Mus musculus: one gene and its partner. The protein of the gene in region 1 purifies or fractionates together with the protein of each later gene. This does not show direct contact. Links are inferred from orthologs where the notes say so. Each region holds a gene or a part of one and is shown on either strand. Other genes may lie near its edges.

Region 1 (14,498 bases):
AGTTTCTTCTGGATTGAACTGGCCTTGCTGGTTCTTGTGTAATGCTGGTCGAGAAGACTGGGCTGCAGCTGCTGATTCACATTTGGTGTTTCGATAAGGGACTGGACTACTGATATTCTAACAAGATTGGACATGCCTCCAAAGAACTGTTTCTAAACAGTTCTCGATGAAGAGGCAGGGGAATAGTTCAGGCCAGCCTGGGCTACCTGACACACCAAAACAACAAACAAAGCCATTGGGGTTACTTGAAGGCAGAAGAGCTTTTAACAGACCAATCTCACAGCACTGGGACTTCAGGAAATAGCACATTCCTCAGTGTGGCCAGCAGAGGGCAGTGCTTACCAGGCACAGAGGTGCAGCAGCCTGAGCTGGTGGACCTGGTCAGAGATTCAAGACTGTGTTATTAATCACACGGAATACCTTCACTTATCCATAAGCAGTCCTTCCACCTCCCCATCAAAAATCTATGTACCCTGCCAGGTGTGGTGGCACACGCCTTTAATCCCAGCACTCAGGAGGCAGAGGCAGGTGGGTTTCTGAGTTCGAGGCCAGCCTGGTCTACAAAGTGAGTTCCAGGATAGCCAGGGCTTCACAAAGAAACCCTGTCTCGACCCCCCCCCAAAAAAAACTAAATAAATAAATAAATAAAATCTATGTACCCAATCTATCCATCCACCCACCCTACCACCCACCCGTTCACCACCCACTCATCCACCCACCCATCCACCCACTCAACAACATACTAATAATCTACTGTATTCCAACTTTAGCAATGAGCAAAGATCAAGGAGACATTTAGAGAAAGAAGAAAGTTCTGAGAAAAGCAGGCAGGCAGACATGGGAACAAAGAGTTCAGAGAGGCTCAGGAATGGTGACAAAACTCAGACTCAAGCTTGTCCAGGATGGACAAGGTCCTGGGTTCAAGTTCAAGCAGAAAACAAACAAAACCAGCTCAGCCTGTGAAGGAGCAATGAGGGAGTGAGGGGGTGTGCAAGCTGATGAGATACACTGGCTAGCAGGGGCCACAGGAGCCACGGCCTCACAGGAGCTTCTCTGTGGGTGGGAGGTACTCAGCAAGTTTCAGGTCAGCCAGAGCAGCATAGTGAGCCCCTGTCTCAAAGCAAGAAAAACAAAGGAATTCCTAGAGGAGGGCTCACTCTGAAGAGATGTCTCAGCAGTTACGAACATTTGAAGCTTTTCCAGAGGACAGAGATTCAATTCCCAGTACCCACATGGTGGTTCACAACCATATATAACTCCAGATCCAGGGGATCCAAGTCCTTCTGACCACCATGGGCCCCAGACACACACAGATGTACATGCAGATAGAACACACATGCACATAAAATGAATAAATCGAAAAGAGAAAATAAAAAGCAGGTTGAATGTAACCATCTTCCCATTTAAAAAGTCCCTGATGCCTCTCGCCCCTGGAGAAAAAAAACCCCTGAGGTCCTCTGGTGTTTCCCTGGCCCAGGAGCCCCTTTAAGAGGGCGGGTGAGAATGAAGGAAGCCTCCCACAGAGAGCGTCTGGAGCTCTCCTTGGTGCTGAAATTCCTTTGGTCTGGCCACTGAAAGCATCCATCCCTCCCACCCTCAAGGAACTTGCTAATTCCTGTTTCCTAAGGATTCTCAGCGACAGCCCAAGATTTGCTGTGCATACGTGTACAAGTGTCCATGTGTGAAGGTCAGAGTTCAACCTTGGATCTGGTTCCTCACATCACATCTAGCTCTTGAACTCGTGGGTCAGACTTGGCTGGCTGGCTGGCCCCAGGGATTCCAGGAATCCTCCTGTCTCTGCCTCCTTAACTCTGAGATCGATTAAAAGTGTGCGCCACTATTTCTGGGCCTGTTGTGGGTTCTGAAGATCAAAACTCTGGCCCTCAAGCCTGCATGGTGGCCACTTTACCACCTGAGCCATGTCCCTAGCTCTCTGGGATTTGATTATTTAAAAAAAAAATTAAAGAAAAATCAGGTGTAGTGAGTGTTGCATGCCATTAATCCCAGCACTCCGAAGCAGATCTCTGTAAATTCAGGGCCAGCCTGATTTATGTAGTGAGTTCCAGGACAGTATAGCCCTGGCTGTCCTGGAACTTACTTTGTAGACCAAGTTGGCCTCGAACTCAGAAATCTGCCTGCCTCTGCCTCCCGAGTGCTGGGATTAAAGGCGTTCACCACCACACCTGGCAAACAAATACTTTAAAACAACTCTTCATTACATTTATTTATTTATTTATTTATGGTGTGCATGCTTGCTTGTGTGCGTGTGGAGGTCAGTGGGCATTTCCCAGAAGTTGGTTCTCTCCTATCCATTGCCAGGGTCTCAGCATGCCAGCATTGCCATTGATCAGACTCCAGCATGCCAGCAGCAGCTCTGCCGAAAGCATCTCTGTAGCCTTGGTTGGTTTTGTTCTGAGTAGGTTACATCAACTTGAGACAGCTAGAATCATCTTGGAAGATAGAGCATCGACTGGGTAAAGGCCCTAACCAGACTGATCCCTGGGCCATTTTCTTGGCCGAGGTCCAGTAGAGTGAACTGGCCACGGGGGCAAGCCATTCTGCAGTCCTCCTCCATTGCCTATGCCCAAGGTCCTGCCTGCCTTCAGGTTCCAGGCCTGAATTCTCTTGGTGATGCGCTACACCTGCAGGATGAAATATTGCTTCCACTCCCAGCACCTTTGCTCAGGGTATTTCAGGGTGGATTTTTAGTATGTTTATTTGTTTGTTTGTTTTGCTCTTTGTTTTGGGGTTTTTGTTGTTGTTGTTGTTGTTGTTGTTGTTGTTGTTGTTGTTTCTCAAGACAGGGTTTCTCCGTGTAGCCCTGGCTGTCCTGGAACTCACTCTGTAGACCAGGCTGGCTTTGAACTCAGAAATCTGCCTGCCTCTGCTTCCCAAGTGCTGGGATTAAAGGTGTGTGCCACCACTGCCCGGCATTAGTTTTTTGTTTGTTTATTTTGTTTTGTTTTTTAAAGAATTATTTACTTTATATATGTGAGTACACTATAGCTGTCTTCAGACACCCCAGAAGAGGGCATCAGATCCCATTACAGATGGTTGTGAGCCACCATGTGGTTTCTGGGAATTGAACTGAGGACCTCTGGAAGAGCAGTCAGTGCTCTTAACTTCTGAGCCATCTACACACACACACACACACACACACACACACTTTTTTTTCAAGACAGAGTCTCTGTGTAGCCCTGGTAATCTTGGAGCTTGCTCTGTAGACTAGGCTGACCTTGAACTCACAGAGATCAGCCTGCCTGTCTCCAGAGTGCTGGGATTAAAGGCGTGTGCCATCACTCCTGGCCTATTTTCTGTTCTTTAAACAGTTTATTTACTCTGTATGTCTGTGTTTGTGTGTGCCTGCAGGTGTATATATGGGTGGGTAGGGCATGGAAGTCAGAGGATAGCCTAGGCTGTGATCCCCAGAGGATAGCCTCGGCTGTGTTCTTCAGGACTGCTGCCTACTCCTTTTGAGCCAGTTTCTCCTAGCCTGGAACTCATTAATTAGACTAGGCTGGCTCCTGTCTGTGCTTTTCCAGTTCCTGAATTCCAGGGGCCACCACCCCAGGGCTGGCACCAGGGCATGCCACCACCCTAGGCCTGACACTTGTGTGTGGGCACCAGAACTAAAATAGGATTCTTGTCTTTGAAGGCAAACTCCTCACCAACTGAGCCATTCCTCTGGCCCTTTTCTTTGTTTATGAAAGTATATGTGTCCAATGTGTATGGAGGTCTGAGCTTGAAGTCCTGCATCTCCATCTCTCTCCACCTTAGACATGGACATGAGGTCCCTCTTTTAAAAAAAAGAAAGAAAGAAAAGAAGAGAAGAGAAGAGGAGAGAAGAGAAGAGAAGAGAAGAGAAGAGAAGAGAAAAGAAAAGAAAAGAAAAGAAAAGAAAAGAAAAGAAAAGAAAAGAAAAAAGATGTATTATATATATGAGTGTTCTATCTCCTGCACGACAGAAGAGGGCAGCAGATACCCTTGTTGATGGTTGTGAGCCACTATGTGGTTGCTGGGAATTGAACTCAGCAACTCTGGAAGAGCAGCAAGTGCTCTTTATAGATCTTCTCAGTCATCTCTTAACTGCTCTGCCTCCACCTCCCAGTGCAGTGGTGGGTGAGAGGCTAGTTCACCACACCCCGTTTATGAGAGTTGTTCCGGCGATGCAGCTCAGGGTTTCCCACGTTCCAGGTCAGCTCTCCACCCACTTATCCCATATCTGGTGTTGGTCTGGAACTTAAACTCCCCACTCTTGAGAGTACTTTGGAGTTCAGGCACAGTGCTGGCTGGGAGGGAGTGGCCGATGGCAAACCCCCGGCTTCCTCGGCTATTACTCAGACTTCCAGAAATAGAGCCGAGTGCGCACACATATAGAAACGGAGGTTATTTTAAGATGTGACTCACAGGATCCTGTGGGCTCTCAGCCCAAAATTAGCAGAACCGGCCAGCGCCTTGAAACCAAGAAGGTGCAGGAAGCTGCAGAGGAACTTCTAAGACAGAGGCTGGGGATGTGGGGAGACTTCCCGCTCCCTCTGGAGCCACGGTGTGGGCGAGGGGACTTCCCTCTCCCTCTGGACCTAGGCTTTCTCTTGCTTCTTTTAGGTTTTAAGCTGAGTTTGGTAACAAAAGGTAAAAGGATATCTGGGCACGGGTGGGGGTGTCTTCTTGAGGTCCTGAGCATACATACCCCTCACATCCCAGACTCCTCGTGCCCGCATGGAACCCTCCATATCCCAGCACATAATCCTTAAAATTCCAGCACTTGGGGTGCCGGAAGGCGATGAGTTAAAACTTTCCTGGGCAATATATATAGACACTAAATCTTAAACTCCCGTGTAGAACCCCCAGTGAGGGAGGGGCTGGGAGTGTGGACAGGGCTGGAACTCTATCTAGAATCCTCCAATGAGGGGTTGAGGCATGGTTAGGGTTAAGCCCTGCCTCCTGGGGGTGGGGGAGGAAAAGGGGTGGGCTGGGGGCGTGGTCAGGGGTGGAGCCTCGCCTAGAATCCTCTGTGAGTGATTGGGGGCGTGTTTGGCAAGGAAGTGCTTGGCCCTAGCTCCTAGGAGGCACCAGGCTATGCCCTATTAGCTCTGGCAATGAAAGCATGAGAGACCTGGGAAATTCTCTCCACTACCACTGAAGTTGGGACATTGTCTTGTAGGGAAAGATGAGCCTCACTCTGGACAACACAAGGAGAAAGTAATAGCTACAAGGCACGGAGGAGAGCTCTGTGTAGGAATCCCCTAGAGTGAGTAACAGGATTGGCCTTCTCTCTAAAGGGCATGAGGAAGTAGGTCAGATATAAAGAACGTTCACAGTCTGTCACTGCAGCAGCAGGCTGGGGGGCTGCTGGTCAAGGTCTGCTCTTAGACTAGCTTAGTGGGACAGTATTTGCTCAAGTTCATTTCCTTAATCAAGCAGGAAATAAAGAAAAGAAAAGAAAAGAAAAGAAAAAGAAAAGGCATTCAAGGTCATTCTGGCCTACAGAAGACTGTCCCAAGAACACCACCAGCAACAACCAGCCAAAGCTGAAGCAGAATGGACATGGTGCCTCCAGAGGGCTTTATCTCAGCACTCCACTCGGGAGGCAGAGGCAGGCCGATCTCTGTGAGTTTAAGGCCAGCCTGGGCTACTTATCAACTTTCTTTTGTTTTGTTTTGTTTTGTTTTTTAAAATTTTTTTCCAGACAGGGTTTCTCTGTATAGCCCTGGGTGTCCTGGAACTCACTCTGTAGAGCAGGCTGGCCTCGAATTCAGAAATCCACCTGCCTCTGCCTCCCAAGTGCTGGGATTAAAGATGCATGCCACCACTGCCCTGCACATATCAACTTTCAAAGCTACACAATGATCTCCTCTCAAAAAAAAAAAAAAAAAAAAAAGTAAAACAAGATAACAAAATCAAACGTAGAAGCCGCCGGGTGTGGTGGCACACCCTGTCTCGAAAAACCAAACCAAAAAACAAACAAACAAAAAAACATAGAAGCCAACAAATAAAAACAATAGAGCAATCTAGGAAGAGCCAATGCAGACTTCTGCAAGGAAGGATAATCTCGGCTCAGGCCCAGGCTATCCACCTGCCTCTGCCTGTGTCCCAAGAGCCCTGTGTAACCCATGAGTTACCTGGCAAGTTCAGTTTCTTGACCTGCTTACATCATACCAAGTGTACTGGCTAGTTTTGTGTCAACTTGACAGAGAAAGGAGCTTCAGCTGGGGAAATGCCTCCATGAGATCCAGCTGTAAGGCATTTTCTTTTTTCTTTTTTTTTTTTAATTTATTTTTATTATATGTAAGTACACTGTAGCTGTCTTCAGACACCCCAGAAGAGGGAGTCAGATCTCATTATGGATGGTTGTGAGCCACCATGTGGTTGCTGGGATTTGAACTTCGGACCTTTGGAAGAGCAGTAAGGTGCTCTTACCCACTGAGCCATCTCACCAGCCCATGTAAGGCATTTTCTTAATTAGTGATCAAGGGGGGAGGTCCCCTTGTGAGTGGTGCCATCCCTGGGCTGGTAGTCTTGGGTTCTATAAGAGAGCAAGCTGCAGCCAGGGCTACACAGAGAAACCCTGTCTTGGGAAAAAAATGTATTTAAGAGAGAGAGAGAGAGAGAGAGAGAGAGAGCGCAAGCTGAGCAAGCCAGGGGAAGCAAGCCAGTAAAGAACATCCCTCCATGGCCTCTGCATCAGCTCCTGCTTCCTGACCTGCCTGAGTTCCAGTCCTGACATCCTTTGGTGATTAACAGCAATGTGGAAGTGTAAGGTGAATAAACCCTTTCCTCCCCAACTTGCTTCTTGGTCCTGATGTTTGTGCAGGAATAGAAGCCCTGACTGAGACACCAAGCTACAGAGTCTTTTACCACGTCATTTAGTTTTGGAACGAGGGCTCACTGAGTTGCCCAGGCTGGCCCGGAATTTACTTGGTAGCTCAGCATGGCTTCTAGCTCCGGATCCTTCTTTTGGGGGCTGGCAAGCGCTAGGATGAGGGGTGGGAGCCATCTCCCCTAGATTACATTCACTCCCATGTAGTCAGGAAGAAGAAGCAGCTATCCAGAAGCGGCTGGTGAGCTGGTGACAGCTCACCTCAAGGTAACTTATTCTCAGAAGGTTTTGGGGGGAGGGAACTTAAGTATTAGAAGGATTGGAATGGCCTAAGAAGGAAATAAGTTTGGCTCCTGACTCTGTAAAGTTCTGGGCAGGTCAGAGAATAACATTGCTTTGAACTCTTAATTGAGAGCCTCCGACCTATAGGGTCCAATTTGACTGATGATTTATTAATTAACTTATTGCTCACATCTTTAATCCCAGCTCTCAGGAGGCAGAGGCAGGTGGATTTTGGTAAATTCGAGGTCAGACTGGTCAACAGAATGAGTTCCTGGACAGCCAGGGACACCCTGTCTCAAAAAAAAAAAAAAAAAAAAAAGCATGTAAATAAACAATAAGCAGATAGGCTAGAAAAGTGAAAAAATAGAAAAGCTAAAGAAGGGGAAAAATTGAAAAATGAAAAAAAAAAGAAAGAAAGAAAAAGCCAGAAAAACAGAAAAAGAAAATTGACGGGAAGGGAAGAGAAAGAAAAAGAACAGGAAATGGAAAGAAAAGAAAAAAGCAAAGCAAAGCGAAGGGACGCGAAGCAAGCCTGTGCAACTGGGATTTGAACTTGACCCCGCCTGGTCTCTCTCGCTTTCCTCCGCAGGGTTTCCCCGGGTCCCCGCTTCCGGCTGGCGGCGACGTCGGAGGGCAACCGAGGACGTGCGTGCGCCGCTGCGTGCGTAAGTGCGTGCGTCGGTCGGAGGAGGGCGAGTCCAAGGGGGCGTGGCGTGCGAGGGGTGGCGCGCGCGGCGCGGCGGGCGGAGGCTCTGGGCGCGCACCGCCTCTTGGCTCCCGGCCTCCCCCGCGCGCGCTCGCCGAGTGGTTCCGCCCGACCCCCCGGCTCATTGTGCCTTCTCCTCACGCCGGCCCAAGATGGCGGCGGCTCTAGACGCCCCGGCTCTGTGACTCCTACAAAGAGGGGAGCTGGGGCCACACGGGAGCGGCGGCCGAGGCACAGGCCGGGCCGTCTGTCCTCAGCCGTCCGCCCCGCGTCCGCCCGTGTCCGCCCGCCCGGCTTCCCGCCGGTGGCCCCGCCCCTCCCCCAACCGCCCGCCTAGCATGGTGCGGCGGCCGCGCGCGCCGACATGGGCGAGAAGCTGGAGCTGAGGCTCAAGTCGCCTGTGGGCGCCGAGCCCGCCGTCTACCCGTGGCCGCTGCCGGTCTACGTGAGTGTACTTGCGGAGAACGCGGGGGTAGGAGTCGTGGGGCTCCGCGGCGGCAGCGGCGGCGGCGGCGGGTCCTTGGCCGTTCTCGGCCCGCGCCTGCCGTTGCCCTGACGCGGCCGGTCGCGTTGTCGCCGCCGCCGGCCCGGAGCCCCGCGTCTCCAGCCTTTGAGGACCTGAGTCTGGACCGACCTTGTGGGCAGGGGTGTAGAGACTGAGAAGTCGGGGATTCCTTGCCTTTCGTGGCGACCCCTCATGTTGTCACCTCAAATTGTCACCTCACGTGCCCTCTTCCAGTCATCTGTTTCTTATCCTGATGCCTTCTCCTATTGTCCTCTATGCCCTTTCTCGTTGTCACCTTTTGATGTTCATGGGCAGGTGCTAAAAAGAACCCTAGGAAGTCAGGGGGAGGTTGGCCCTTGGGTTTGGGTTGTCCCCCCACGTTCGTGGAGTGGTAGGAGGGCTCCGAATAGTTGTTTCTTCATGTCAGGGTGCCCGGCTGAAAGAACCTGAGAAGTTAGAGAGGTTGTCATCTCAATTTGTACCTCATGTGTCGTTTGACGTTGGTGGATTGGCCTGGAGGTACATTGGAATGCTGGAGCAGTTGTTTCTTAATGTTGGTGGCATGGCTAGAGGGGACTTAGGGAGTCTGGAGGTTGTCCTCTCATGCTGGTGGGTAGAGCTGGTGCGACTCTGCAAAGCTGGAGGTGTTATCCCTTAAAGTGGAAGTGCCAGAGGCAAGTGGGTTCTGAAGTCCAGGAGGGCCTGCGGAGGTCAGTGTACTGTCCCCTTGTGGCCCTTTGTATGCTTTGAGTAGAAGATACAGCAGTGGGGTTCCCTGGTGCTGCTGAGTTCACATCCTCACTGGGGTCCCAGGGAACATGTGTGTCCTGGGATGCCCTTGCACCTGTCCTCTGCCTCTTCGAATTAGGCAGCCCTGTGTGTCCTTGAACATTCCCACAAGTGTCCACTCAACTCTCCTGAGGTCAGCAAGATGGCTCAGCAACAGTCTTATAATCTGAGTTCCATGTTTGGGACATGGGCAGAAGGGAGAGTACCAACTTCCACAAGTTCTCTGACCTCACTGTGTGCACAGACACAGCCACTCACAAATGTAATAGGAATTTTGAAATATCTGTTTGTGTGTATGCTGGTCATGGTGGCACACACTTTTAATCCTGGCACTTGGCAGAGGCAGGAGGAGTCCTGACCAACCTGGTCTATAGTGTGGGTTCCTGGTTGGTGGTCTGCCTACAAAGAGTCTGAGAAATTGGGGAGGCTTGTCCCTCTTCTTACCACGACTGGAAGGACTGTGGGAAATGGGAAAAGTTGTCCCCTGGTGTTGGTGGAGTCTGAGAGGTTGGGAAGTCCGGGAGGTTGTCTGGTGAGGCTGTCTGGAAGAGCACACTCTTTAGTACGTTCCCTCTCAGAGTTGGCTGTTCTGACTAGCCACCCTTCGCAGGGCAGTTCTGTGAGTTGTGGTCACAGTCGAGGTGCAGCCTACTTCAGCCACCTCAGCCTCCCCTCCACTGTCCTTCTGTCATTTGCCTCCCACTTCCTTGGCTGTCACATTGTGTTCTCTGCTAGCAGCTTTTTCTAGAAAGTCCAGGGAATGATCAGCAACTCTGCAGTGTTCACCCGGGAGAATGTGTCTGAGACTTGCCCACCCACGCTGTCTGAGGGTTTGAGGCTGCCCCTAGTTTTTCTTTTAGCTGGGCAGCATCCTTTGGGCAGTGAGCCAAGTTTGGTGATGATTCTGCCAGTCATAGGATGCCTGTGCTGGCCTAGTGTTTTCTTTTTCTATTGTTTCTTTGGTCTTGTTATATAGTGGCTGACCTGGAACTCATTCTGTAGCTCAGGCTGGCCTTGAACTTGCAGTGATATCCAGCTTCTGCCCCAAGTGCTGGTTGGGATGATGGGCTTGTACCCCTGTGGTGTGTGTGTGTGTGTGTTGGGGATGCGGGGAGTTTAGAACTCCAGACACCTGCAGTAGCCTTGTTCAAGCTGAAGCTGTCACTGAGGAGACCAAGAAATGGGCTGCTTGGTCTGTACTGAGTAGACAGTCACCAGGCTGTATCCTCAAAGTTGTCATATATGAGTTTGAAGGGTTAAAAAAAACTACCACAACCTTGTTGGTGCCCATTTGAATGGTGCTTCTAGTTTGCCTCTGCCCTGTCCCCTGGTGATGAAGGCTGAAAGTTCACCCAGTGACGCTGACCCTTTCATGTGAATCAGGCCTTCAGTTGAGCCTGGCGGGAACTGGCTTTCCAGTGGCGGGTGGCTGGGAATGACCGCCCAGTGCCTTTCCCTTGCTGGCCCAGATCTCATTTGGCAAGGTTGGCTCTGCTGGCCCAGCCCTGCTCCTGACATCTGCAGGCACTTTCCAGCTGTGGCTGTCACATTGCTCTCCATCCAGGAGCCAGCAGGTGGCAGGGTAGGGGTGGTTAGCTCTCTCAAAGCCTGAGCAGAGCAGCAGCTCCACAGTGCCCTATTCTAGTACCATGTTCCATGGAGAGTTCTGCTTCTTAGGAAGCCAGAACCTGGCACACACCAGTGTCAGACCTGCCATGCTAGCTCCCAGGAAGTGGCGGCAGAGGGATCAGGAGTTCAAGACCAGCTTTGACTATATAGTGAGTTCCATGCCAGCCTGTCCCACATATTGGGGCGCATCAGACTCTTGTTTCAGGTCCCTTCCCCCAATCAGGCAAACACAGAAAAATCTGTTGTGCTGTGATCCCATTACTGAGGCATTGTGTGCCCACCCACCTACAGGCCTTCCCAGTCTATTCTGTTTGTTTTGGGATGGATGGAGTCTTAGCATAATCCAACTGGCCTTCATCCTCCTGCCTCCTTCAGAGTCCTGGGATGCCAGGTGTGTGCCACCAGGTCTGGCTTTATAATCCTTTGTAAAAAGCACCTGCAAGCTACCTTTGGTGCCCCTGGGGCACAGAGGATAGAAAGACATTCATCACTGCAGGCTCTGGAACTTGACAGACAGATTAGGAACTGAGTGTGGCAGTCATGGGCCTGGGCTGGTGGCCCAGCTTCTTAGAGGAGTTGAGTAGCCTTGTGTTCACACTCAGAAATACCCAGTTTGGAGACCAGGTTTGGACAAGTGACAGGTGGGAGGGGGACACCATCCTTATAGCAGTTTAGGGCTCTGGAACCTCACAGAGTAATCCCTTTGGCAGAAGTGATGTAGATGTCATTTTTAGCTGTTTGCTTGGCAGGCAGCTTAGGGGACAAACCTGAGAAGGAGGACTAGGGTGGCCTTCCTGTTGGTGACTCAGTAGGCCATGTGTGGTGGCGTGTCCCTTCTGATGAGTTCAGGAGTCCCGTGGGTGGCTGGGTGAGTCGTGCTGTGGGTAGAATGAGCCAGCCCCAGCGTGACTCAGAAGGTATTTTCTTCTGCTGACCTTTTCGGATAAGTGTCCAGGCTAATCTGTGCTCACGTGGGCAAAGGTGGGTTGACCTTTAGCCTGCCTATGTGGGCCAATTACCTGTTTCAGCAGGGAAAGGATGGTAACGGTGGGCTTCCATGTGTGGCCAAGGGAAACATTGGCTCTGTACTTGCCTTTCAAACCCACTTACTGATGAGAGTAGGGGACTGCCCGGAAACCACCAGCTGGGTGAGATGGTCTGATTCTGTACCCAGGGCAGTTTGGCACTCACCATGTAGCCCAGGCTAACTTCAAACTTAGAGCAATCCTGTCTTTTTCTCTCAACTGCTATGAATATGGGTATGAGATGTCCTGCTGGCTTCAAGTTACATGTGAGGTTAAGTGATGAGGACAGACCACCTCTCCCAGCCTCCCTGCAGGGTATGTGACACTCTGTTAGGTGTCATTACTTCTGTCACATGGAAAGGTTAGCCAGCCATTCTCATGGGGTCTGTCTTTAATTGACACTTGGTGATGCCTAGTGATATTTGTGGTTGCCATAATTGGGAAGAGGGAAAACTTGGGCACTGGGCTCCTGCCGAGTTGGGTTCTGGATAACAGAGACACAGGTCTGCCACCCCGTATCTCAGATTGGATAAGTGGTCTGTTTGTTGGAGCAGACCTGTCCTTTTTTCCTGGGGTCCTCGTTATGCAAGCCAAGCTGGTTATCTTTCCAGAACATTGGTGTCCAACCACCTGACTGTTGGTCTGTTGCTAACTTAACCCAAACACAGCTGTCCATTGTATGTGGACACCAGCTCTGGGGTTGAGATGTGATAACCTTCTGAGGTCCTACACAGGCTAAACTACTGCAGGCTGCTCTGCTGGTGGTGTGAGTATGCTGGGGCATAGGCAGGGTAGGACTGTTCAGGGAGGGAGTGTCAAGCAGTTACTGGAGCATCTGCCTCCTTCCTTACTCTCCCTCCTCCACTCCCCCCCCCCCCCCCAGACTCCTGACTCTGCCTTTACCTCCAGAGTGCTGGTTTACACAGTGTTGGGGATGGAGCCCCAGGCTTTGTGCATTCTAGGGAGTGCTAGACCTACTGAGCTATATTCAAGCTCAGAAGGGTAGCACCTGTCCACTTGTGGGAAGGTCCGGGTTTGTCCAAAACCAGTACCCAAACAGGTTACCTGACAGGGTCTGTGGAATAATCAGAGGTCAGGCAGCTATTATAGCTCTCTAGTTCTAGAACAGTCCATCACCCCCATGAATAGTCATCTGTTCCCAGCCCATGAGTATAACTTTCTGTTTAAGGATTATCTGTTGGACATCTCTTACTGCCAAGCTACTCCCTGTGGTCCTGTCACCAATGTTAGAACCCTGTGCTTCTGCCTTTGCCACTGGCTTGTGGTATTTGAGTGTGGAAACAGACTTCCAGGTCTTAGGCTTTAGAAGACGAACTTGTTTCCTCCATGCTAGAGTGGAGTAACAGGATAGAATGGGGTGGCACCAAGATCCATAAGGGCATTCATATACACCAGGCAACTTTTTTAAAAGGATGGAATTTTAGCTGGGCGTGGTAGCGCATGCCTTTAATCCCAGCACTCATGAGGCAGAGGCAGGCTTATTTCTGAGTTTGAGGCCAGCCTGGTCTAACAGAGTGAGTTCCAGGACAGCCAGGGCTACATAGAGAAACCCTGCCTCGGAAAAAAAAAAAAGTGGAATTTTATTTACTGTGCACAGGTATTCACGACGTGTGAGGGTAGAAGACAGAAGAGGATGCTGTGTCCTCTTATGTCACTGTCTGTCCCTTTGAGGCAGGGTCCTTTGCTGGACCTGATGATTTGCCTTCTCAGGTAGACTGGAAGCCAGCTGGCTCCAGTCCCAGGTCCCCACACCCCTGCTGGGGTTACAGGAGCTTTGACTGCTTACCTTCTGATTGCAGGGCAAGTGCTGTGAATTCTTGGTCTCTCTCTGGTCCCTGTGCAATATTCACAGCCGCCCCAGTGCCCAGATGCAATGCCATGCTATCTTGCTGTTGTCTGGGCAGGGCTCCTTGCCTCTCCTTGAAGGCTTGTCCCAGCTCTCCTAAGACAAAGGGTAACCAAGCCCCTGTCCTTTGCCCTCATACCCTGAGGGAGGAGTGGCCTGCAAGAAGGAGGACACAAAAGTGTCCTGATGGTGAATATGCAGTCACTCTTATCTATTGACTAACCTATATCACTTAATAGACCTGGGTTGATGGTGTCAGTCCCCTTTGAAGACCTCAGAGGCCAGCTTTCCATGGAAAGTTCAGCAGAAACCCTTGTGGCTGCAGGGCAGGCAGCTGGCACAAATGGGCTGGCTCTGGCCTCATCTCTGTCCTTGTAGCTGAGCAAGGACACTTGTTCTTTTGTGAACCTTTGAGTCCCCATCCTATACTTGCCTCCTGCCTTCAGGAAGATGGGCAGCCAGGAAGCTGGGTGTCCCCATGTGTGCTGTGAATTAGTACCCTGGAGCTGGGCCAGACCCTGGGTCCCTTTGTGGACTTTTGAGTTCAGAGTCAAGTCTTAAAAAAAAAAAAAAAAAAGTTCTCTAGGCTGGATGTGTCTGTGGTCCCAGTTGCTTGGGAGGCTGGGGCAAAGAGATTGCCTGAACCCCCACAATAAAGTTACCAGAAAGTTATAGACTGAGTGTCTCCCTTCCCCTCCTCCTCCTTTCTCTGTGTGTGTATGTCTGTGTACACACGTGTGAACAGACATACCCTAAGCTTGGAATGTGGTGTGCATTCTTAGGATAGCCCATCAGGTTGAGACTGTACATGTGATATGATCATAACCCTGTGTGGGCTTTTCCAGGGTTCTTAGTTCTTTGTGTGGGACTATGTT
Region 2 (14,758 bases), on another chromosome or scaffold:
CAAATACACACACACCACCCAGATCGTGAAAGCTATAACAGGTCAGAATTCAACAAGTCTACAAAATAAGTCAACCTTGGAATCCACCACAGAACATGACACACTTCACAAATTTATGTATTGGGCTATCTTAGTGTGCACTATAGTCTATTATGTAGGCAAGGTTAAGTACCACAAAGCACAAAGTTTTTTTAGGCACTGAATTTAGTAGGTCTGTTGTTGGGTACTTACCTTTGATCTCGGTGTTGATGGTTTTAAGTCTTTTCCATTTTGGTTTGATTTTTGTGCATTTTTGGCTGGGGTATCTCGTACAGACTGCAAGTAGAAAATGGCCTTAATCCATATGCCCTCTCCAGAGTAGAGATCAACTCAGATTAAACTGTCCTAAAACAAACTAATAAATTGTAACTCACATACAGATAGCGTTCTCAAATTTTCCTGTTTAGCTCAGAACCAATTTTTAAGATCAATTCAGCCAGTTTTTACTACTAGCACTAAGAAATTCCCATCCTTTTACTAGCTACCCATGATAAACCTCATAGTATCTCATGTACTCACTTTCTTCACTGGGACCTTTTCTTCAGTTTCCTCTTCATCAAAATCATCATCATCATCACTATAAATGAAATAAGCCAACACACAGAACTTAAATTTTTAGTCAATTTTACAAAAGAACTAAACCATATTCATCCACTGTAGCACAATTGTTAATAAAAGTGAATTTGCACCAGTATTTGAATGGATCAATACTTAAGAAACCTAACAAACATTTTTATATAATACTTGAGAGTATTGTTTCAAAGGGTTGTGTAGTTGATTAATTTTGCAATGTTATTAGTAAATAAATAGCTTCAACCAAATCAGCTTTGTACCAAACCATAAAGAAACTAGGCTTTTTAGAGTTAACATTTAGCCAGGTGTTAGTACATATATGCCTTTAGTGTCCTCTCCTCTGCAGTGTAGGGATTAACTTTTACATATCCCAGTAACTAGAGCAAAGATACTAATTACTTATGCAAGAAATTTGAACAGACCATTTCTCCCCAAACATATGGTCAGTAAACATGTAAGACTGTTAGTCACCTAGGGAATAAACCAAACAAAGATACTGCTTCACACATTACTCTTCAAGAGGTAAATTTAGGAAGAACTCCCACAAGGTGGTGACAGCAACCCCAAATACCTACAGTCAATGACACATGCACATGACTTTTCAGCCCTTAAAAACTATAGGGATCAATTCTGTCAAAAATCAAAGCCAGACCGAAATGGTGGTGATGAAATGTTGCAAAATACTCAAATAATTTAAATGTAGCCAAAGATTGATCAAAAATTCTATAGTAAAAATTTTACTACATTTGTTGATTCTACCTGTCTTACTGTAAAGATGCTTCTGCTTACACTTCATTCCAATGTGTTATGTGCAGTGTTTGACAAGGCTAACTTTATTGGCTCCTCCTAAAGACATATATATGTGGCACTGGAATTAAGCTGCCAGATTGAAATTAACAACAGTCCACCTCCAAATACTTAGTGTAACGTCCTAGCTCAAAAAAGGGTGCTGCTTCTCACTTCCAATTTAGAGCTGAGATTATGATATAAAGTCACATGGCACTTGCTTTAAGAGGAATACAAAATGTTCTTCAGGCATACTGTGATTTTTTAGAAGGGGGCAAATCACATTCAGTATGGCCACTGAAACATCTCCATGTCTATACCTAAGTATATAATGTCCAATTGCTCATACAAAGTCTGTAAGCAAAATCACCAACAGTGACTACATTTTCCACACTAGTGTTAAAGTCAAAAGTTTGAACTTCATGTAAATTACCTTTTCAGTGGGGAGATTCTCTCTTGTTAGGATCTGCTACATGTAAATCCAGTGGTTTTGGTAATTTAACACTACAGGTTAGTATAAAAATGACCTTACCTTACACCCAATCCATGTAGATGCTTGGTACCAGAAACAATACTAATTTCTATAAAACTACTCTTTTCTTCTATCCTAAACCATGTAGTAGTATCAGTCATACCACCAAAACACTATTCCAATGATTTTATCCTTAAGATTAAAAAGGCCCTTGATGCTGGTGGTTTTATGCCCCAGTATAGAGGAATGCCAGGGCCAGGAAGCAGGAATGGGTGTTGGTGAGCATGGAGAGGGGGATAGGGGGTTTTCAGAGGGGAAACTAGAAAAGGGGATATTTGAAATGTAAATAAAAATGTCTAATAAAACCAAAAGGCAATACCATCTTATGAGACCACATATATCTGTCCTTTAGTACAGCAGCATTCAATACTTAGTTCTAACAACATTCCTCAGGGTTATCTTCTAAGCTCTTAAATGGCAAAATAGTCAAAAAAATCTCTGCATAAATGTCATTATTTGCAATATAACCCACTCATCTGTTCTACTCCCCAATTTTTTTTGGTTTTTCGACAGGGTTTCTCTGTGTAGCCCTGGCTGTCCTGGAACTCACTGTAGACCAGGCTGGCCTCGAACACAGAAATCAACCTGCCTCTGCCTCCCAAGTGCATGCGACACCACTGCCTGGCTACTCCCCAAACATTGTTAAACTATATACAATGAAATATATAAAGTCAATCTTGAAATCAAACAATTTGAATTATCTGATCCAGGACTTTAATCCATAGGCTTGTATACAGAGTATGTGTTTAAAGCCTCTTTGCATTCTTTGATCCAGAACTTTCTGGCAATGTGATTAAACTCTCCAACTTAAATAGTAAATAATCTTCAGCTATCATTTTATTCTCGTGGGCATCATCTCTGTATGATGAACCATTATCACACCAGAAGAACTACTAACCCTGATAACCTCAAGACTATTATTTGTCCCTTACTATGTCCCCACTATGAATACAGTAATCAATATAATGAAGACTAGTTCCCAAGTTTGCTTTGAACAGTTATCTTAGCTCAGAATATACTTGACCAATTCCAGAACTTCTATAAGACAGGAAGGTAACAAATATAAGACTACAAATAATAATTCCATACTTCGGGGGGAGGGTATGGGGGACTTTTGGGATAGCATTGGAAATGTAATTGAGGAAAATATGTAATAAAAATATTTTTAACGAATTCCATACTTCCCATCTAGCTGTTACTTATATTGAACACATAAAATCTTACTCCTAACAATAACTCCCAAGAAAAATCAATGTCCCAGCCGGGCACAGTGGCGCACACACTTGGGAGGCAGAGGCAGGCAGATTTCCGAGTTCCAGGCCAGCCTGAACTACAGAGTGAGTTCCAGGACAGCCAGGGCTACACAGAGAAACCCTGTCTCAAAAAAATAAATTAATTCAACCCCCCCATCAATGTCCCACATACAATAAATAGCTTGTTTGTAAGGCAAACATGGAATCATAGGTCAAAATCTTTTACTTTCAAACATCAACCACTGGCAAGTCAATCCTCCTAAACCCTTACAAGTACCTGTAAGATCAAGTTTTTGAGATCATAGTACTTATACTTACTCCTCATCATCCTCATCGTCCTCATCATCGTCCTCATCATCTTCATCAAGTTTTACTTTTTTCTGAAAGAATAATATGCATCCATTAGCAAGAGAAATTTTGGTGATTAGCCAAAGTAAATGCCAGAAATTTTGTTTTTTTTTTTCGATACCAATGTTTCTCTGTGTAGCCCTGGGTGTCCTGGAACTCACTTTGTAGACCACCCCCAGCCAGAAATACTTTTTAAAACTCTTTCCTGGCACACACCTTTAACCCCAGTGCTCGGGAGGCAGAGGCAGGTGGATTTCTGAGTTCAAGGCCAGCCTGTTCTACAAAGTGAGTTCCAGGACACCCAGGGCTACACAGAGAAACCCTGTCTTGAAAAACAAAAAACAAACAAAAAGATCTTTCCTTTCTTTACCTGTGGAACCTTGTTACCACCTCCAGGAGCAGATCGCTTTCCAGACATGCCTAAGAGTTTTACGTCCTCCTCATCTTCATCTTCAGACTCTGCATCTTCCTCTACAGCTAAAATAGAATTAGACATACTAACTCGACAAGAACAAGTAACCCATAGCATTTTTAAGATTCCATTAAAGGTAGCAAATGAACAGAAAAGATTTACTGTATTTTAAAGACAGAAATCAGGTCTTTGTAGAACTACGACAGTCCAAATGGAAGTCTAGATTGAAAGATAGCCTCATTGGTCATAGGGTCCTGAATAGCTGAACCCAACCAAACACATTCGTCGTGTTAGATTGATCCCCAGAACTCATGTGATAGCAATTAAAGATGCTAGGGAAATTGTCTTGTCTGACCAGGACAAGCATTCCATGGCAGATGTGCAAAGATACAAATGTTTAAAATATTAAAAAAGCTAGCCTATATTGAAAACTATGACAAAAAAAAACCTACCTACTAGATGCTGTCCACTAATGTGCACAGGCCCTGAACCACACTTCAACCGTAAGACCACAGGTGGTGTAATTTCAAAGCCCCCTAGGGAAACCTAAAAATAAGAGTTTTACAACAGATATTACCAGCAAGTTCTACAATGAAATAAACCTATTTATAATAGCAGCAGAAATAATCTTGGTAAAAGATACGTCTTTGCAAAACCTAAATGACACTGACCCCAAATGACGCAAGAGACCTGAACCAACATGAAATCCAAAATTTAGAAATGTACTTACTGTTGGTTGTACAGACATTTTCAAAGTTGCCAGTGTTACTTTAATTGGACTGCCTTCATAGTTCATTGCTTCTGCCTCTACGATGTGTAACTCATCTTTTGCCCCTGCTCCTAAACTGACCTGTGAATAAAAATGTTTCAAAGAAACTTTTAAAGTGGCTTTTCACCACTACTGACGAAAAGAAAACTAGTCATCTCACCATTAGAATTAGAATTGAAGCGTTTCACAACAGAATTACCATATACACAACTGTTCCTTTAAATGAATAAAGCTGGCAGATTAAAAACAAGCACTGTTCTACAAAGCACCTATCTAGCACCTTGGAGTGACCAAGCTATACAAAATTACAAGTGACAAAGATCCCCTATCTTTTCTGGGATTAAACTCCTAGTTCATCAGTAGGAAATGTCTGAAATGTTTTTAAGTTTCAGAGCTTACATACCGTTCTTAATGACAACTGGTGCTCATTTTCATCATTATCCACTTTAAAGTGATAGTCTTTGTCAGCCTTTAGTTCACAGCCTGTATGTAAGACAAAAACAAGAAAGCAAACCTAGCAATGATACTTACATCAAAACCCAAAGCCTAAAGTTCTGTGAAATCAACTCAAATGAAACATTAAAAAAAAAAATCTTTAATTTTCTCATAGTACTAACTACATTGAGGCAACATTGCTGGTTTCCACAGTAGACTTAATGAGTCTCTTTAAAGTAGTATGGTGAAATCGGTATAAACACTACTAGAATTAATGAACGAGTGGCAGAGTTCACTGTTCCTTTAATCTCAGGACTGTTAAAAAGCTAAAACGTGAATCACTGAAAAACAAACTGATTCTTTTAAACAAAAACTGGGTGTAGGGTAGGCAGCAAGACTATAGATGTGATCCCCAAAAGCCTTGATGCTAAAGCGAATCTTGTCTGTTCAACAGATCCTTCCCTCTCCCCACCCCAAGAAAAAGTAGTTCTAGATAGAGCCAGGTAGATGATTTAAGGGTACTCCTAACATTAAGCCACGTGGGCCATCAGTACAGCTATCTGCAACGTGATGCTGACTCCGCCTACCAGAGGCAAATTAAAAAGGGGGGGCTCCATCACTGTGGATACTGAAAGATATGAACAAAGATCTCAAAAACCCATACGCCACGGGCTATGAAATAAACATTTCCCTCCCAGAACTTTTAACTAAGCCACAAGATCCCACGGCTGAAGGTTGGCTAGAGTCGGAGAGCCCGGATGTAGAGCCCACACCCCCTCCCTAACCCCCAACCACGTGGCAACCACGTGCTCCTAGGGGTTGCTGCCCCTTCTGCCTCAGGGCGCCTGCTCGGACCATTCCCCGTTACTGGGCGAAGCCCTCGGTCGCCACAGAATACAAGATGCGGCCCCTGGAAAGCCCAGCGCCTGCAGATGTATCCTCCCCAACAGGGCGGAGGTAGGCCTCGCCTCGCTCCACAGGCCCCTTTCTCCCGTGCCGCCTGCCGTGGCTCAACACAAGAGGAAAAAAAGGAGCTCGGAAGCGACCGTGCGGGCTTTCGTGCACAGGAGAAACGCCTCTCAAGTTCGCGCCACAGGCAAGGTCGCACCCTCGCCGGCCGGCCGGCCGCTCCTAACACCCGAGGCTACAGGCTGGGCCGCTCCCGCCCCATTTTCCGGCGGCTTTCCTAGTGTTCAGGCCGCTGCTTCTAAGGCCTGGGAGATTCCTCCTTGCTCTCCGGCCTCCACCTACGCCGCGTTCCCCACACGCCAGGCCTCGGCTGGGCTCCCGCCCCCCCCCCCATCACCAGGCCCTGCACACGCTTCCCCCTCCAGTCAGTTACCGAAAAGGTAGTTCTGAGGCCTAAGAGGACTCATGTCCATATCCATCGAGTCTTCCATGAGGTGGAGGCGCGCACTTCGGTGTGGGAGAAGCCGGACGGAAAACAACTGCCTCCTGTTCCACAGAACAGACGCGCAGGACGGAATCACGCCAAGGAAAGGACGCGGGCTCTCCGCACGTATATATGGTCGCAGGAGATCTCGCGAGATCTGCGCTAGTCCTGCCTCCGCGAGCCTCCTCTGGATCCCTCCCACTCCCCGCACAGTCGCGCTTTTGCGCGTGCGCCTTTCATCCTCACGCCTAGGTACCTCGCCCCCCTCCTCCTCCAGGTGCTTGGCGGGCTCTCACTGCGCACGCGCGTTCGTCTCTGGCCCCGTCCCTCCACTACTGTCGCCCAAGCGCAGGCGCGTTTTCTCTTTGTGGCCTCGCTCTGGGTTTTCAGGGCTTCCACGTCTTCTCCGCTCGTGCTCGCGGGCCCAGGGCCGAGAGCGTGCGCAGCCCACCCTGAAAGATGGCGGCTGCAGCCAGGGAACCACAGAGCGTCTCTTTTCTCCACCCTCCGTTCCCCGTAGGCCTGGAACAAGCATAATCACCTCAGGATTTGGCTTGCTCGAAGGCTTGCTCTTCGTTTTCACGTAGCTTCAGGAGCCCAGGGCGGAGTGGCTGGATCTAGGCTACTTTCCCCGCAGCCATGCTTTTGCACCTCTTTTCTGAGGCAGCATTTTCAAAACGAAAATTATCAGCTTTATGTCATTTGGGGACCAAAGAGAAACCCAGTCAGTCGCCTCCAAAGAGCATCTTTCTAAAACTTTAGAGCGTGCAGAACTGAGAAAACGCAGGCCGTCTTCATCATTCCAAATGAAGGCCTATCGCTTTTTTAGAAATTCATGAGCCTTAATACGAATCTTCGGCTGGGAATTAGCGCTTTAAAATGAATCCTGACGAACATCCCTCAGCGTTGGGTGCTTTCTGACAGCGGCCCTAATCTTTTTATCTCAACATGGAGCTAGCATATTTAAGAATTTGGGGGAGGAATGTAGATAATGGTACCAATGTTTGTAGACTCCAGAGACGTGTCAGATATAAATGCATGTGAGCCCATTACGTATCAAATCCTAAATTCGGAGATATCTGTCAATATGTGAATTTCAGTTTGCAACTATAAGGAAAAAATCATGAAACTTGGAAGAATTGTGTGTGTAAATAAACAGAGAAAAAAAAAAAAAAAGTCGGGCGTGGTGGCGCACGCCTTTAATCCCAGTTTGCGGGAGGCAGAGGCAGGCGGATTTCTGAGTTCGAGGCCAACCTGGTCTACAGAGTGAGTTCCAGGATAGCCAGGGCTATACAGAGAAACCCTGTCTCGAAAAACCAAAATAATAATAATAATAAAATAAACAGAGATAGACTGGGTATAGTGTGGGAAAGAACGGGTGAACAGAATTTGACCATCCAAACTGAGAAGGTGCAGGAGGAAGCATTGATACCCCTTGAGCCTGTGCAAGCCAGACAGTTTGATTGTTTCTGGATTCTGAAGCTTATTTAAATGCAGCTCATGCTGGTTTAATCCCAGCACTCTGGAGGCACAGGCAAGTGGATCAGGAGTTCAAGACCAGTGGTCTACAGAGCAAGTTCCAGGATAGGCAGGACTACACAGAGACTCAGTTCTTCCTGCCTCCCCGAAACTTTAGGTGCCTTAGTTGTCACTGAATGATGCCACATGCTTAGGTACAATGAGTAAGAGCTGTGTATATTACCTTACAACAAAATACTATCTTTTTTTTTTTTTTATTCCATGCTTTTATTAGTTTTTAGCATGCTTTAAAACATAAAAACAGAATCCTATGGCCAATGCCCAGCTTCAACAGTTGTCTCCACACACACACAGCATGCTATTTAATACACATCTTCCCATCTGCATATTTGGGTGTGGGCACGAATCATCCTGGAATTAGCTGATCTCTTGTGGATACCAAGTGACAACTATACAACTGTATTTCATACTACACCACATGACTACAGATATATGAGAAGAAATGTCCAGACTCACATTGATTAGGCCATTCAATGCATTATACATATTCCCAAGTACGCCATACATCATAAATAGATAGATACACTTTACATCAATTAAAAATAAACTGAAAAGAGAAATACCCCATGAGCTTCTGGGTATATCTGTAGACAGTAGCCAAGAAGGTATCCTATAAGAGAAACTTAGATAAAGTTTCTCTTAGATAAAGATATAGGAAAAGAAAGCCATTTGAGAAATCTCCATTTCAAGATCCTGCTGTGGTGGTTGTAGCACACACCTTTAATCCCAGTACTCGGGAGGCAGAGGCAGGCAGATTTCTGAGTTCAAGGACAGCCGGGTCTACAGAGTGAGTTCCAGGACAGCCAGGGCTACACAGAGAAACCCTGTCTCGAAAAAAACAAACCAAAACAAAACAAAAAACAAACATCTCGTCCTGGAAGCTTAATTGTGTCTAACAGTATACCATTTTGATGGACCGTACTTTTTTTTTTAAGATTTATTTATTATTTATATGTAAGTACACTGTAGCTGTCTTCAGACACACCAGTAGAAGGTGTCAGATGTCATTACAGATGGTTGTAAGCCACCATGTGGTTGCTGGGATTTGAACTCAGGACCTTCATAAGATCAGTCAGTGCTCTTAACCACTGAAGCATCTCTCCAGCCCCGGACCATACTTTTAATGTCGCAGCCCACATACCTGCGCTTAACCAAAAAAAACAAAAACAAAAAAAAAGTGTCTTAAATAAACAAACAGGCCAGGCAGTGGTGGCACACGCCTTTAATCCTAGCACTTGGGAGGCAGAGGCAGGCGGATTTCTGAGTTCAAGGCCAGCCTGGTCTACAGAGTGAGTTCCAGGACAGCCAGGGCTATATAGAGAAACCCTGTATTGAAAAACAAAAACAAAACCTTTTCTTTCAATAGTTTAAAGTTACTATATTATCTCCAGAGTTTGTATGGGGGTGGTTGTTGTTGTTGTTGTTTTCAAGCAGGAAGTTTGATTTGGAGGTTTTGCTTGTGGTTTGCTTTGGTTTTGATTCATTTTTTCCTGCAGTGAGTATTAATCCCAGGACCCTGAGTGTTGGACAAGCACTGCTCTACCATTGACCCACATCTCCAGCCTGCATTTCTATATTTGTTCTCTCTGCAATGTGTCCTTCTTGCCCTCCTCCATGGCTATTGAGACAGGTATCCATATGTAGTACTGTGAGACCCCGATTTAAAGTGTTTCTCCCTGAAAGGTAAAGCCCCTAAAACATTCCCCCAAGCTTGTTTTCCCTGATCTCTAAAAATACAGTCAGAAAGAAGCTCTTTGTTCTCTATAGCCAGCAAAAAACTTTATTTGTTTCAATACCTTACAATCAGAGATGCGATAATTGTAAAAAAAAAAAAAAAAAAAAAAAAAGGCCTAGCCAGGCAATTGCCTGGCTCCCTGTGCCAAGGACACCCCCCCCACACACACACACACACACACCCCTACCCCCCACCACCACCACCACCTCTGCTGCCAGAGAAGAGCGGTACTCCCAATTCCTCAGCTAACTGTTAAAAGACCCCCTACTGTTACCGAGCCTCTTGCAGTTTGCATCAGGTGTGGTTTTCTCAGTGGGTTGCTGGCCAGCTCATCCCGGGACTTGAGTGGAGGCCCAGCTTGGGGGGGGGCAGTCTTACAGTACAAGACTAGAACTCAATCCTCATGCCTCAGCTTCTAAAGTGCTGGGCTCAGACATGGTTTCCCTGGTTGATTCTAAGATGTTTTCCACTCAGATTAGCCTGGACGAAGTGCCTATAATCTCAGTACTTGAGACAATGGAGGCAGAAGGATCAGAGTTCAGGATTAGCCTGGGTTACATGAGACCTTGTCCAAAGAGTTGGAGATTAGGGAAAAGAGGAGAGGGATAAACAAAGGGACCCTTGACATTAAGAAAATAGTATGCCTCCCTTTGTGTTTCCTCTGTCTCCGGGATCACTGAGTCCTGGAGACTGGAGATTCAATATCATCAAGTTTAGAAGAACTTAATTTGTTATCTGAACTGTTTCTATCCACTCTTTTATCTTCTTCCATATGAGACATTTTTTTTTAAGAGATAGACCTGGGCATGGTGGCATATGCTTCTAATCCCTGCATTCAAGTCCAGCTTGGTCTACAGAATGAATTTCAGCTATATGGAGAAACCCTGTCTGAGAGAGAGAGAGAGAGAGAGACTGGAACTGAGGTTATAGTTCAACAAAGAAGATAAACAAACAGGACTGCTCACACTAAAAACATCTGCACAGCATCAGTGGAGAAATAACTCACAAACCTCATTTTACACACACACACACACACACACACACACACACACACACACACACACACAAATATTCTGGGACATCCACAAAGACAAAATGTAGCCAGTGCTTGTTGTTCAGTCCTGGAATGGAAATTTGTATACTGTTTTGGGGCATGTAAATTAGAAGAGCCATTGTAGAAAACTGTGGAAGTTCCTCCTGATGCTGGCATAGTGGTGTACACCTGTAATCCAGCATTTACTGGAGTGGGGGGTGGAATGGGGATGGAGGCCAGAGGTGCAGGAATTCAAAGGCTACTCAGCTTCACCTTTAATCCCAGCATTCCAGAGGCAGAGTAGGAGGCTCTAGTCTGTTTGTCTTATGTGGTCCCTGGGTCCTATCCTCGTAGTCCTGTCCCAACCCAACCATCTACAACACACACATGAACACAGACATGTATAGATGCCTACACAAACATGCACATGCATACACACATGTGCACTCATGTATACACTATTCTATTGCTGTGAAGAGATCCAAGACTACTCTAATAAAAGAAAGTATGAGGACTTGCTTACAGATTCAGAGGTTTAGTTCATCAACACGGTGGCCTGGAGTATGGTGGGACATGTCACTCATGGTGCTAGAGCAGTAGCTGAGAGCTAGACACTGATCTACAGACCAAGAAAATGAGAAACCAGGTCTGATATAGGTTTTGAAACCTCGGTGATGCACTTCTTCTTACAAGGGCACAGCTCCTAACTCTTCTAATCCATTCAGATAGTGTCACTTCCTGATAACTAAGTATTAAATTAGAGGAGTCAAACCACTACATTCTACTCCCTGGCCCCCCATAGGCTGATAGCCATATCATAATGCACAAATGCATTTAGTCCAACTTCAGAAGTCCCCATAGTCTATCACAGTCACAACACTTTAAAAATCCAGAGTTCAAAGTTTTGAGACTTGTAACAATCTCAACTGTAAGCCCTATAAAATTTTAAAAAGCAGACCCACAGACTGCCAACATAAATGGCACAGGATACACATTTTTTATTCCAAAAGGAGAAAAAGGAGCGCAGAGAGGAAATACTGGACTAAAGCAAGACCAAAACCCAGCAGGGCAAACGCCAAACTCAGCATCTCCATGTCTGATGTAAAAACACTCTTCAGGTCTCCAAATCCTTTCAGCTTTGTTGACTGCCACTTTCTCTCTCTCTCTCTCTCTCTCTCTCTCTCTCTCTCTCTCTCTCTCTCTCTCTTCCTCTCTCTCTCTCTCTCTCTCTCTCTCTCTCTCTCTCGGGCAGGTCCTACTCCTGGCTGCAGCTCTCACCACTTTGGCATCTCCAACATCTTGCAGTTTCCAGTATAACCCGAGCTTCATCTTCACAGTTCATGAAATGACTTTCTTTCTTTTTTTTTTTTTAAAATAAGTCTTTTTTTTTAAAGATTTATTTATTTATTATGTGTAAGTACACTGTAGCTGTCTTTAGACACACCAGAAGAGGCCACCAGATCTTGTTATAGATGGTTGTGAGCCACCATATGGTTTCTGGGATTTGAACTCAGGACCTTTGGAAGAGCAGCTCTTACCCGCTGAGCCATCTCACCAGCCCAAGAAATAGCTTTCTTAGGCCTCCATGCAGAGACACAGGTGACACATGCCTGACCTCAGCGGCTTTCCTTAGGCACAGGGACATATCCCATAATCCCTTTCTTTTATCCTGGTTCAGGGTTTCCTCTGTGGACCAGCCAGCCCTGGCTGTCCTGAAACTTGCTTTGTAGACCAGGGTGGCCTTGAACTCTCAGAAATCAACCTGCCTCTGCCTCCCAAGTGCTTTCATTTAGCCTCAGACAGATTTTTAGGAACAAGGCAAAAAGCAGCCACATCCTTTGCCAAAATATCACACACACACACAGAGGACTCATGTATACACACATATACATATAATTTTAAAATGAAATAAATCATATTTCTTTTGTATGCCTGCGTGTTTTGCTTGCAGGTATATCTGTACACCACCTAAGCATACAGTGCCCACGGAATGCAGAAGGTCTTTATCCTGAGCCACACACCCCCAGCCTGTTCAGTTTTTGAATTGTACATGTGTTGTCCAAAATGTGTATCACTTATATTTTAAGTCAGGATGTCTGTTTTCACTGATGTAGCCAAGATAATTTAGAAAACTGTTTGTGGGGCTGGTGAGATGGCTCAGCAGGTAAGAGCACCCGACTGCTCTTCCAAAGGTCCTGAGTTCAAATCCCAGCAACCACATGATGGCTCACAACCATCCGTAACAAGATCTGACTCCCTCTTCTGGTGTATCTGAAGACAGCTACAGTGTACTTACATATAATCAATAAATAAATCTTAAAAAAAAAAAGAAAGAAAAAAAAAGAAAACTGTTTGTGTATGCCATTTTTGATTAGCATGTTTAATGAATGAAGATTATGGCCTCCAAGAATGGGAAAATTTGCCACTGGTGAGTGAGTGATACTGGTACGGGTGTGACCCCTCAGGTTATGACACAGATGTCCTTTCTGAAGCCATGGGTCACATCATGAACTAGATTGTTGGACGGAGAGCAATCCTTCTTTAAGGTGAGCCATAAGCAGCATCCATGTCAGAAAGTAGGGGAGGAGGTGAGTGTGTCTGAGGAATTCACAACAGGGTCCTCTGTTCTTCCCCCCACCCCCAGAGGCTGAAGGGTGTCAAAAAAACAAAAAACAACCCAAATCTATCTCACCCCCCAAAGGGGGTCTGGGATAGTACAAACTGGTCCTAGTTCAGGGCTATCCACATTCTCTCTTTTTCATCAGCACATCTCACTTTCTGTAGTAAATACATTCTGTGTTTTCTCTTCCTGCTTCTTCTTTAGTCCTTTGTATCTATTGGGGAATTCTCTCTCTCTCTCTCTCTCTCTCTCTCTCTCTCTCTCTTGTTTTGTTTGGTTTTTCGAGACAGGGTTTCTCTGTGTAGCCCTGGCTGTCCTGGAACTCACTTTGTAGACCAGGCTGGCCTTGAACTCAGAAATCCACCTGCCTCTGCCTCCTAAGTGCTGGGATTAAAGAAGTGTGCCACCACCGCCCGGCTGAGAATTGTCTTCTCAATGTCACAGGAGAGAAAGAAATCACAGCTCCTAAGTGTGGGCTGAACAATTGAATGAAGATGATGATCCCCTCAAGGCGACTAGACAATAGGGAGATAAGTCATGACTGGGCTGGGCATGATGAAATGCAAGAGTCAGGTCTGGAAGCCTTAAATGTAAAAGGCCCAATACGTGGTGGAAGCAGGCAGCTGGAAGGGAGGATAGAAAGTCCTGGGACTCAGTCAGGGAACCTCCAAGTTGGCTTGGATTTGGGCCCACTGTCAGCGTTCCGGTTCTGCATCCTGATCTGCATCTGGAATGACCCACCCTTTGTCAAAAAGATGAGTTCCTCTCCTCTCCATCGTCAGAAAGAGCGGTAAAGTCCAGCAATTACAGCAGAGGGCGCTGTAGGGCTAACCCGCTCCTTTGCCCGTAAAGGTTTATTGACCAGCAGAACCAGTTACTGCATTAAAGTAATGGAGATGAGTCTGTAGCGTATCCTGAAGTGGAATTAAAGTAAATCAGAACCTATAATGTTTTACCTTGAAGTATCACTAACTTCATCCTGAATGGCAAAGAACACAGTGTGGAAGAATAAAGAACAAATTGATTATTTACTTTGTGGCTCATGGCCATAAACCCGTTATGAAAAGGAGCATGCAACAAGCTGTTTTATAGAGTTGGTTTGTCATATCTACGTGCAAGCAAGGTGAAATTACCATCAGATATTGTCTTCTAAAAAGTAAGGTTTTTTGTTTTTGTTTTTGTTTTGTTTTTTCCGAGACAGGGTTTCTCTGTGTGGTCCTGGCTGTCCTGGATCTCACTTTGTAGACCAGGCTGGCCTCAAACTCAGATCCACCTGCCTCTGCCTCCGGAG

Evidence for each region.
Region 2: the proteins of Dot1l (region 1) and Npm1 purify together in Homo sapiens (affinity purification with mass spectrometry; 3 studies listed by BioGRID and IntAct, with this or other methods). This does not show direct contact. The link is inferred for Mus musculus from reciprocal best matches to the Homo sapiens genes DOT1L and NPM1.

What each region holds. Positions count from the first base shown.
Region 1 is NC_000076.6:80,747,272-80,761,769, forward strand, and holds the start of Dot1l (histone-lysine N-methyltransferase, H3 lysine-79 specific), read left to right. Parts: upstream 1-7,931; 5' UTR 7,932-8,172; coding exon 8,173-8,253; intron 8,254-14,498. UniProt on the Homo sapiens protein: Histone methyltransferase. Methylates 'Lys-79' of histone H3. Nucleosomes are preferred as substrate compared to free histones. Binds to DNA.
Region 2 is NC_000077.6:33,156,433-33,171,190, forward strand, and holds the start of Npm1 (nucleophosmin), read right to left. Parts: upstream 6,775-14,758; 5' UTR 6,548-6,774; coding exon 6,490-6,547; intron 5,196-6,489; coding exon 5,116-5,195; intron 4,794-5,115; coding exon 4,674-4,793; intron 4,490-4,673; coding exon 4,396-4,489; intron 4,009-4,395; coding exon 3,902-4,008; intron 3,564-3,901; coding exon 3,502-3,563; intron 617-3,501; coding exon 559-616; intron 316-558; coding exon 232-315; intron 1-231. UniProt on the Homo sapiens protein: Involved in diverse cellular processes such as ribosome biogenesis, centrosome duplication, protein chaperoning, histone assembly, cell proliferation, and regulation of tumor suppressors p53/TP53 and ARF.